Macaca mulatta: one gene and its partners. The protein of the gene in region 3 interacts with the protein of the main gene of each other region in a pairwise test. Links are inferred from orthologs where the notes say so. Each region holds a gene or a part of one and is shown on either strand. Other genes may lie near its edges.

The links. The genes of interacting proteins can lie anywhere in the genome.
Region 1: the proteins of ENTREP1 (region 3) and BAG3 interact in a two-hybrid assay, tested with the Homo sapiens proteins (2 studies listed by BioGRID and IntAct). The link is inferred for Macaca mulatta from reciprocal best matches to the Homo sapiens genes ENTREP1 and BAG3.
Region 2: the proteins of ENTREP1 (region 3) and WWP1 interact in binary tests that used the Homo sapiens proteins (3 or more experiments, as listed by UniProt). The link is inferred for Macaca mulatta from reciprocal best matches to the Homo sapiens genes ENTREP1 and WWP1.

What each region holds. Positions count from the first base shown.
Region 1 is NC_133414.1:131,748,286-131,752,035, reverse strand, and holds the start of BAG3 (BAG family molecular chaperone regulator 3), read right to left. Parts: upstream 2,595-3,750; 5' UTR 2,299-2,594; coding exon 2,119-2,298; intron 1-2,118. UniProt on the Homo sapiens protein: Co-chaperone and adapter protein that connects different classes of molecular chaperones including heat shock proteins 70 (HSP70s), e.g. HSPA1A/HSP70 or HSPA8/HSC70, and small heat shock proteins (sHSPs), e.g. HSPB8.
Region 2 is NC_133413.1:96,820,579-96,824,328, forward strand, and holds the start of WWP1 (NEDD4-like E3 ubiquitin-protein ligase WWP1), read left to right. Parts: upstream 1-1,335; 5' UTR 1,336-1,528; intron 1,529-3,750. UniProt on the Homo sapiens protein: E3 ubiquitin-protein ligase which accepts ubiquitin from an E2 ubiquitin-conjugating enzyme in the form of a thioester and then directly transfers the ubiquitin to targeted substrates.
Region 3 is NC_133420.1:100,430,152-100,433,284, reverse strand, and holds part of ENTREP1 (endosomal transmembrane epsin interactor 1), read right to left. Parts: intron 1,877-3,133; coding exon 1,584-1,876; intron 1-1,583. UniProt on the Homo sapiens protein: Functions as an activator of the E3 ubiquitin protein ligase ITCH in the ubiquitination of the CXCL12-activated CXCR4 receptor. Thereby, triggers CXCR4 endocytosis and desensitization, negatively regulating the CXCL12/CXCR4 signaling pathway.

The sequences.
Region 1 (3,750 bases), on a different chromosome or scaffold from region 3:
GAGTTGATGATGTCCCATCATCAAAATCCAAGCAACCACAGCACAGAGGTCAGTGACCCAATAACTTGGTGGCCAGGAGGGCACAAAGATAATCAGGTATTCTAGCCTGCATGCTTCAGTTTCACAAAACATTCACTTCCAACTTCTAACAGACACACCACCTCTTACTAGAACTTTCCTGACATTAGTTCTCTCCCTGTAATTGGTACTAGCTGGATGACCTTCAAAGTCACACCTGAATTCTCTGGGTTTTTCAGAAAATAAGAGATCTTCTAACTAAGAGATCTTCAAGGACCTTTCAACTTAAAAATTTTGACTATGAAATTTTCAAAGAAACCTTTCCAGCATCAGACTTCTGATGTAATAGTTCTTACTTTTTATTTATTGAGAAGAATAATGGCAGCTAAACCTGCTTTTTTTCTTTTAATAAGGTTTATGAAACCACAGCCTAACCCATGCACCAGGTGGGTACAGGAATATCTCAACTTGCTGGGTAAGTTTCATGCTGAGAACAAAGTGCTGGGAATGTCTATGTTCAAACTTGATCTTCACTCACAACAAAGGCTGCCAGCAGATACCACTGTCCCTATGTCCACAGGAAGAAGGCCTCAAAATAATAGTTGCAAACCACACTAAAGATCAGGTACATCCACGCAGACGCCTAAGAAAGGTGGTTTGAAATGAGTGTCAGTTTCACCCAAAAATGGGCTGAACACACACACAAAAAGGTATATGCAACTGTGCCCACCCCAGCTAATTACAGCCTCTTGTATTAATTTTCAAGAATAAATACACAAGTAATCTCTCGTAAATGTAAACTGCTGCCTGTACAGTGTCTCACTGTTGGGCACCGGAGTTTTATCAATATTGTTAAAACAAAAAGTGCATTAAAATGAAGGGAAATAATACAGGTCTTTCTTCTAAAATAATGGGTTACAAAGTATTTTTAATTTGGTGAGTTTTAAAATCTTCAAAATAATTTACCAGCTCTTTGCTGCTTTTATCTTGCCCAGACGGCAGTAACAATTACGCTTTAAGTATAACATATTTTTTTAAAAAAACTTTTTATTTTGAAAGCTCAAATTTATATAAAATTGAACGAATAGTATAACTATGATTTTTGAAAATTAACAGACTCATTCCAAATTTACGTTTTCAAATTTCATGCTCTTGGGGATTAGGAATATCGTTGCATATATGTAAATGAGACATACTTCTGCTGTATTCCCAAGAGTATCATTACTCTGTTATTTGTGTACTGGTAACAAATTCTAAGTATTTTAATACCATAACAAGGCAGGAAGCGAATGCCATTATAAATATACACGTATCATTCTCTTTCCAGTGTGAGGCAATGTGGTAAGGCAATGGCCAACTGTAAGTCTCAGATCTCTAGTTTAGAAACTGCTGGGGAGAAGTGCACCCTCTTTTATATTTTACAAGTCATACTAGGATACATTCGTATTGAAAGCACTTTCAAACAATAATACAATTTTAATTTAAAATACACACACACGCGCGCGCACATATATATGAATGTTTTGACACCAGCCTCCTGAGTCATTGGGTGCCTAAGATGGGACAGCAAACAAGATACCCCTCAACCAAGTTGGAGAACTTGAGCGGTAAAATTCCTCCCAAAAACCACCATCCAAGCTTGCGAGGGTCCCCCTCGAGTCCGCGGTCAGCGGGGTGCGCCGCGGGTCCCGGGACCGGAGGCCGAGCCGGCAGCAGGGGCCGCGGCGGGCCGGAGCCTCCGGAGCTGACCAGGCCGGCCGCCCCCTCCGAGCCCGGGAGCGTGAGGCCAGCGTCGGACACGCGGCCCTCCGCCCCGAGTCGAGCCGTGGACCGCACCGGACCCACTGCGGGGTCGCTTCCCGGACCACCGGATCGCGGGGCCTCCTCTCGCCCCGACTCCTGTAAAGGGCGGGTCCGGAGCGGGGACTCGTCCGGGAGCACCGGGAGTGTGTGGCGGGGCGCGGAGCCGGTGTCCGCCCGCAAGGGGCCTTCGCCGACCACCGGGCCCCGCCGCCTGGCGTCCCCCCGGCCCAACCCACTCCCCGCCGCCTGCCGTCGAGGTGGCGCCGCCGACCAGGGCGGGCCGCGGGCCCAGCTCACCTTGGGGCCCTCAGAGGGCACGCGCGGGTCGTTCCACGTCGTGGTACGGCTGTTGTGGTCCACGAAAAAGGGCCAGCCGGTCTGCGGGTCGATCTTGATCTCCCAGCCGGGGGGCAGGGGGTCGCGGTCACCGTTGCCGGACGCCACCTGCATCATGGGCGAGTGGGTGGCGGCGCTCATACTGGGTCGGGGTCTGCCCGCCGGGGCGCGGGTGTGGGGCGCGGGCTCCGGGCGCCGAGTCTCTGGCCGGGCCGCCGCCGTGGGCCCCTCTCTGCCGCCGACGTGTCCGGGAAGCCGGCGCCGGGCACCTTTATGAATTAAAGGCGGGGGTGACGTGGCCAGAGAGGGGTGGAAGTGTCTGGAAATAGCCTCCTCGGTGCCAGAGGGGAAGGAGGCGATAAAGGGAGGTAGCAACTGGCCGGCTAGAAACTTCTGGTCCAGTCCAGAGAAGTTGGCCGCGGCCCGGGGTTGGACGCGGAGCTCCGCCCTGAGTCATCCGCTATAATCGCGGCGGGCGGGGCTGAGGGGCCGGGGCGGGGCTGAGGGGTCGGGGCGGGGCCTCTCCCCGCTCGCCCCTCCCCCACCTTCTCCCGCCCCTCCCCCCGCCGTCTCGTGCGCGTGCCCGGGCCGGAGTCGCCGGGGGCGGGCGCGGGCGCGTCTTCGGGGTCCGCCTGCGGGTGGGGCGCCGGAGGAGCGGTACTGGGGGCTTACTCCGTGGCCCCGGGAGGGTTTCGGCTTTCGCACTCGCTCTCTCCCTCTCCTTTGCGCCGACTGAGTGTTCCTGGGGCTGGAGCCCGTGCTCCCCGTGCCTGCCGCCCCTCTTTCCTGTACAAAGCCATCTCGCCCACCCCCACCCCACCCCCACCCCCCAACCCCCCCATATATGATAGCCGGGGACCATGAGGGCTGTCCGGGAGGAGCGCGGGGACGCTCATCTGACACCAGAAGGAAGCCAGGGAGAAAATGGAAGTTAGTGCAAACTCACCTGCCTTCCTTTGGAAACTTCAAGAAAAAAAGAGATTGTGTCAGCTGATGGCTTTTAGTCTCCTAGACTAAAAAGAAACTTTCGTTGCGGTGAACAGCTTTAAAGAAAAATCACATTTTCTTGGATTCGGATCTTTTTTATGGTAGAAGTTGGTTCTTGCTGTCTTACATCTTGACCCTCATTTGGGAAGTAAAGACCGAACCTAACCATGACATTTTTTGTTTGGTTTATTCAATTGCACTTGTAACCTGTCAAAGGAGAAAATTACAACACATTTAAAGATCTTTTCTGTTGTTGTTGTTGCTGATTCTCATTTTTTAACTTTTGTTGTTAAAGTTCTTAATTTTATTTGTGATTCTAGAATTGGGCAACACCTCTATTAAATTAGAATAAGTGCTCCCATGAGCTGAGCAGAAGAGGTTGATTTTATAGACAGAGAAGGGCTGAAGAAAGCAGAAACAAAGAACCAAGACTGGATTGGTTGTTTCAAAATTACTTTCCTTGTAAGGAGGGGACAGCGAGACAGAATCATAGAAAAATAACTGATGAGGGCTTGCCACCATGGCTCATGCCTGTAACCCCAGCACTTCGGAAGGCCAAAACTGGAGGACTTCTTGAGTCCCGGAGTTTGAGACCAGCCGGAACAA
Region 2 (3,750 bases), on a different chromosome or scaffold from region 3:
GTGGAGTGACACAGATGTATATTTTCGAATGATCTTTGTGTATATAATGTGCACCAAATTCAAGTGTGAAACCAGAGGGCAAGAACTAATGCATGGAGGTAGGCGGGAATGTGCATTGTTCAGTCAAGATATACTTGTTGAATTCTGTACACACTGATGAAGCGATGGCGCTGTTTTTGGTACACAGTTCAAAAGCTTAGTTAAAATGGAAGGGGAGAGAGAACCACAGGTTTTAAAATCAAGGGAAAATTTAGGACCTAGTCTTAAAACGTGATTATGCTGAGAGTTGTAGGCAGTGGAGACAGTGAAGTTAAAGATGTGCCAAGGACCGCTCAAAATGGGGAGCAGGCAGTGGAGAGGGGCAGGGGCATCTGGCCCTAGATAGAAGGAAAACTAGTAAGTCTGGGTGTGGACGTAGATATAATCTATCGGGGTTGGTCAGGTGGTTGGGAAAGCTGTAGAAATCCATGCCTGAAGGCTTCTGCTTCTCTGAAGTAGGAACCGGATCACCTGGTAAGTAATGTGGTCTCACGGACTTCTATTTGCATATTGACCTTTCTTCTAAAAGCAATACATATAACCAGCAGCACTTTTCTAAACCAGTTGACTTTTCTGTAAAATGCAGACAGTAGACGCTACTTTATCAGATTGTTGTGTGCGTTAGTTGTGCCAACACGTGTACTTGGTCAGTAAGTATCTGCTTTATCACTGGGCTGATGTGAGTGAGGACTAGGTGGTGGGACTTCCACAGATGAACGTTTTGATTAATAAAAAACGGACTGAAAGTCTTCGGGTATGACCAACAGCTAAATGCAATTATTTACTCTTGCAATGGGTTCGAGGTCAAACACTCAGGTCACGGAGTATTTATGAACAGCCTACTTTTGCCCCCGGATTTTAAGAAGTCCTGTTCCGGGCTCGACCGCCGACCGGAAAGTCAAATTAGCAGTGCCCAGAGCGCGTTTAGAGCAGCCCCTGCCCAAATCTCAGCGACGGCCCCGCCCCTTCCACGGGTTCAGGCCCCGCCCCTCCCTGCTATTGGCTGTCCCTCCCCCTCCGCTCGACCGCTCGGAAGACCAGGAGGAGCGGAGTTTTCCTAAGGCAGCATCCGAGCGCCCTCGCTGCGCATGCTCGGGGGAGGCGGATTCCGGGTCCGGAGTTGGAGGCTTTGGGCGGCCGCGGTGTAGCGCGCTGTGCCGGGGCCGGCGGGGAGGCGCGCGCTCGGGGCGCGGCGCCGGCGACGCGGCCACGCGGCGCGCTCCCGAGGAAGGGAGGTGTGGGGTCGGCTGGGGGTGGCGCGTGGCCGGGGTGGGGGTGGGGGGAGGGTCGGGTGTCGGCAAGCTCCGCGTGCGGGTTCCGAGTGGCTGCTGGCGGCCTGGGCTGCCGGGGCCGACGCCTGGGTGGCTGCCGCCGCCGCGCCTGCTGCGAGATGGCGATCTTGGGCGCGGAAGGGTGAGGGCGCCCGCCGCAGGAGGAGGTGCCGCTGCCGTGGCCGCCCGGCTGCCGGGAGCCGACAGCTTCGCGCCGGGTAAGGACGGCGCGGCGCGGGGCTGGGGGTGCGGGCGCCCAGGGCGGGAGGGGGCACGGGCCCGGAGCCTTGGTCGCGGTGCTGGGCGCCCGGCGCCGTCCGCCTCCGGGCTGGACCCTCCTAGGGGCCGTCGGGGGACGGTCCGCCCTACCTTGGCTGCCTTCTCCAGCCAGGGAGTCGGGAGTTTTCTAGGGTGGGGTCACGGGTCTTACCCGGAGTTCGTCCTGGCACAGGCCTGTGCCAGTGATCCTGGAGCGGAGCGAAGTGTTTCCGTGACTCTGCAGCTGCAGTTCTTAGGCTTTCTTAGCCTTCTCTTCGCCTTCCTCCACCTTTCCCTAACACCTCCCTCAAAACACAAATATATGGACTCATTGCCCGTGCCCTGACTTTAACCCCAATTTGAGCGTTGCAAACCAAGGACTGCAGCCTTGGAACGTCTTTTTCTGACATGTTTTTATCACTCCCCGTTCTTCACCGACTCTGCAGCTCCCCATCCCCCGCCCCCCCATCGCAACCCCCACCTCCACCTTTTGTGACCTGGTAGGTTCCAGTGACCTTGCAGATTTTACCAGTCCTTATCTTGTCTGTGACTTACAGACTCTCCTTTCATCTTCGTGTCCTTTTTTAAAAAAATTTAATTTTGTAGTTTGCTCCTTACCTTTACGACCTTTAAATGATCAGTCTTGTTCACAGTCCTTTCTTTGCTCTGTCGATTTGGAGTTTTCTTTGCTCTGGTAAATATATGAAACCTTCATTACCAAAGAAGAGTAGTGTCTGTTATAATTTTGACATTTTTACTCTTCCAGAATAAAAATATTTTTCAGGGGCTTGATTTTGCTTTCTTTTTCTATTTGATAAGTTTAACAAAATTTTGTGTGTGTGTAGGTTAATGTAGAACAAGATTTTGTGTTTCTGCTTTAAAATGTTACTAGTAATAGTAATGGGGGAAAAATCATGTCCAAAGTTATATTTATTTTCCCCATTTGGTGTTTTTACCTGAAATACTTGGTTTACAGTTACCTGCATTTTTTTTTTTTTTAAACAAGAGTTCATGTGTAAATCCACTTTACCTGCCTCACCAAATCTGTGTGTATTACGCAAGCAAAATGCACCTTTTAAAAAAGAAAGACATTCTTTTATTGTGTGACTTGTTTTTAGCCATCAAGTAGTAAATTAGCTGCGACTAGAAATGATCATTTTTTATAAATGGTTAGTATGTTAAAAAATGGAAAGTGTAGTGGCCAAGTGTTGGGAGCTACTCAGATTGGGAATTGTAAAGTATTTGGAATAGTTCTTTGGGACATAGCTTATTAACATTTTCAGATAGTTCTTACCTTAAAATGCGAAACTGCTGGTAAGATCTACATCAGGGTTTTGAAAAGCAATAATTATGAGCTACCGGCATAATACAGGATGTCACAGATAAAGTCTCTGCCTTCAAAGAGATGGTAATCTTTGCTGTTTACCCCACGGTGGCTGAAATTTCCTTTACTTCCTTGTACAGTTGTTAAGCATTTACTGCATAATTGTGGGAGGTATTTTGGGGAATACAAAGATGAACCGATTAGCAGTTTCTGCCTTCACACTAATTAGGTAGATAGTGCTATACACAAATGCCCTATTTGTCTTTTAATATATAAGTTTCATAAATGGTACCAAAATCCTCTCAGAAGTAAACTTTAAAGAGTAGAGCTCAGATCTTACTTGGCAAGGTAGAGATAAGAGGGTTAGTTTGTAGAGCTTATGGCTTCTGAAATCATGGTTTGGAAGGACGATTATGACTTTGGATAGGCAGGAAAGGTAATCCAAGCAAAGAGGTATCTCTCTAAGAGAGCACAGAGTCCCTATTTAGGGAGAGGCACGTACTTATGTTTGGATGGAACATAAGCTTATTTGTACCAGGATAAAGGATGGTAAAACTTGAAGGGAAAATTTGAACTAGTTTATGGGTTGTTTTTAATGCCAGGCTTATGACCTTGGATTTACTAGGTGATGGGGCTTCCACAGATGATTTTGAGTTGGGAGTGAAACAATTTGAACACTTTGTTTCAGAAGGATTAGTGGGATAGCGGCCTGTAGTGTGAATTGAGGTAGGGAGAACCTGGAGGTAGAAAGACCTCCCAGTTTTTGTAGTCATGGGTAGTGAGGATCTGAGCTGTGGTGCAGGCGAATGGAAAGGAAGAAAGGAAGTCGAATAGCCAAAATGGATGAGAGGGCAAGTG
Region 3 (3,133 bases):
CTCCAATATGCGAAGCCAGCTACAGTCAGAAATAACCGGTCTCCTTCTGCTGTCCTTACCTCCTTCTGCCTGGGAAAAGGTATGGAATTGTGAAACCTCACCTCTAGGGTCCAGTCCTGGAAGGCCCTGCAGATGACCCAAAATCTATCACAACAATCTCAGCACCTGAACTTTTAAACTGCCTGGGGCACAAAGATCTAGCAACCATTTGTGATGATAGCATCTAGTGAACTGTATAAGTGCTTGTTCTTTTTCCCCAGAGTTATTTCCCAGGGAGCAAGACTTTGCAGAAGGTCCAGGCCCACTGCCTGGTGAATGCTCCAGCTCTTAGCTCGACAGAGCTTGGCAGCCTTCCAGAAGCAGCTCCTGTTTATTGGGCTCTTGGGGCCACAGAGAGGGAAGGTGACAGAGAATGACATCTGGAGTAGCTAAGGGACACGAGGATGTAAAATGTTTCCCCCACACAGGTTAGTAACTAGAGCCTGACCCGGAATCGTAACTGATCACTCTTTTAGAGTGCAAACGCAAGACGGTCTGTGGTTCGTGTATCTCTTCATGCAAGGAATCAGATCATTCCTCTCCCTGAATCCCCTGAGGGACTGGGAGAGAGTTTGGCTTCTGGCTTCTGTAAGAAGAGGCCAGCAGGTAGAAAGGGGGAACAGAAGGGAAAGTGAGAAGGGTATTTACTCAATCTGAATTAAAAATTTACCTACATCCTGAAGTTGGTAATTACCCTGAGAAATTAGCCCACTTCAATTGAAGAAGTATTTGTTGGACATTTAATGCACAAAGACACAGAGTCGCATAACATCCATACGTCATTGTGGGGTGCTGTCTACAACATCTACCCCACTACCTGCAGCAATGAAGCCAACACCTAAAAGGGAATGGCTTTTTAAAAAGGTGGAGAGAAGGCTCCTTCCAGAAGGAAACACCATCCATTCAGAAATAGAGATATAGAGACTACCTAGTCCAACCCTTTACTTTAAAGAGGAGAAACCTGAGACCCAACTGGATTATGTTCATGCCCAATTCTATCTTTTCTCCAAGTGGCTTCAGTTTTGGGGATTGCCTTGTATTTTTTAATCTATAAGAAGAAAGGTGTTTATTCCCTCAGGACCTGTTGGCTTATCTTGCCAAACATTTCATGGGAATGTGAACAGCCTCTTAGAATCTTGTCAATATTAAAATTCACCTATGTCATCATTTTCAAAGGGCTGAGAAAACATGCCTTATCAAAGGAAACCTTCAATTCAGGAAATCAAATGTTGAATGCACTCCCCATTGTCCATATCCTCCGCTTCTATTCCTGGCATGCACTCTTTTCTTTTTGCAGACATGCTTCCACATCCCAGGAAAACTGGGTTCTCTTCCCTTGAGCCAAGAATGACGTGGGAAAGTTACCACACTTGAAAGCTCCATGGCTTCCTCTCTCTCTCTCCCTCCCCTGACCTCCCAACCCCATTTCCCTGAAGACTGTGACCATAAATTTACTCTGCCTTGGGCAGGAAAGCAGAGAAGCCACTTTAGCTGCTATAAAAATGAGTTATCTGATTCACATCTGAGATTAATAATAGAACTACCTGTTCTAGGAAACTGGCACTTGTGATGGCTTCCTCCATGTGCTCCTCATCAGACTTCAAAACAGATTTAATGTTTTCTACAAGTTCATGGATGTCTGGGGTCATGGTACAGGAGGACTGCTCCAGGAACCTTGCCACCAGCAGCTTGGTGTCCAGGTAGGATTTGTAATCTATCAAAGACCGCGGTCTGCATCGCGAAGTTCTCGATCTCAAGCCTCTCCTCAGAGTCACCGCAGCCAGATCCAGTCTCCTTTCAGTCTGTGTCGCAGCTTCACAGCTGAGCACCGGGGCAGCTGTGGGCAGAAACAAACAACGCGAACCCATTGGCCAACCCCTTTTGAACACATGCCCGTACCTGAAAGCACAGACCACAAAACTCAACATGGAAAGCATGTGACAAATGCTGATAGCCATGCACATCCTGCTTTTCATCTTGCAGAAGGGGGGAAAACAATTATGACACAAGGTTATTCCCTGATGTCCAGTTCCAATAGGATATGGCCCAAAACATGTCATCGTGCCATGTGACATCACCTGCAAAGTAAAGCCAGATGGTGGAGAGGAGAATCCAGAATGCAAACCATAATGAAGTTAAGTTTCATGGGGTATGACAAACAGATGGGCATGGATGGGCCAAGCAGGAAAAATGTGGCTGACCCATGAAAGGATGTTCCAAGGAGCAAGGATGAAGTAGTCAATTAAGAGAGGAAAGGGCTGAAGAGACAAGACTTGTCAGATGAATGTAATGCTCTGATCACTTTGACTATACCTTTGTCCCAAACGTCCTCAAGGACATTGTACTGACTTGTGCTATCGATGCTCACACCATGGATATGAGGTAGATCTATAGCTATTACAGAAAGAGAAATTTAGATGCAGAAAAAGTACACATCATGCTGGAAGTCAACACAGGGCCTGGGAAATCCATCGCAGGCTCTAATTTCCATGGCTACCTACATCAGCAAGGGTGTAAAGACCAGCAGAATGCTTCTGCACTTTGAAGTGGGTGAAGCAAAACTCAGATCTGGTCATTATGTGTCCAGAAGCCAGCCAGCAGCCTTCAGCATACACAACACTGGCATCAGTCTATGAAGGCCTGATAAGCAGAAATTTAGAAATTCAAAGAAGACAAGAAGCAGGGGGCGAGAGAGCAGGTGGAAGAAGGGGAGCACTCCTTTTCCTCTGGAGAAAGGCAGGCACGGGGAGCTCTAAACCAGGATTCAAGACTGTCCTCTCAGGCAGCCATATGCATGTCACAGAGAGCAAGAGTCTTCCAGAAGCACTCGCCAAAGACACTCATGTGTGAGGACAGAGTCAGTGTCTCCACTCTTCCACTTGAAGGCAACCTGGCACCTTCCACAATGGAGGGCTCCAGCAGCTGCTGTCTTCACCCCTGCAGGTCTGCAGAATGAGAAGGGGTTCCAGAAAGATTTCCCTAAGCTGTGCAAAACAGCTAAGTTCCCGTTGAGGCTGGAGTCCTCAACTTGCCAGGTAGGGTGTAGGAGACCCACAGTGAAGGCAGGTCTTGGGAATCAGAAGCCAGGCTGCCC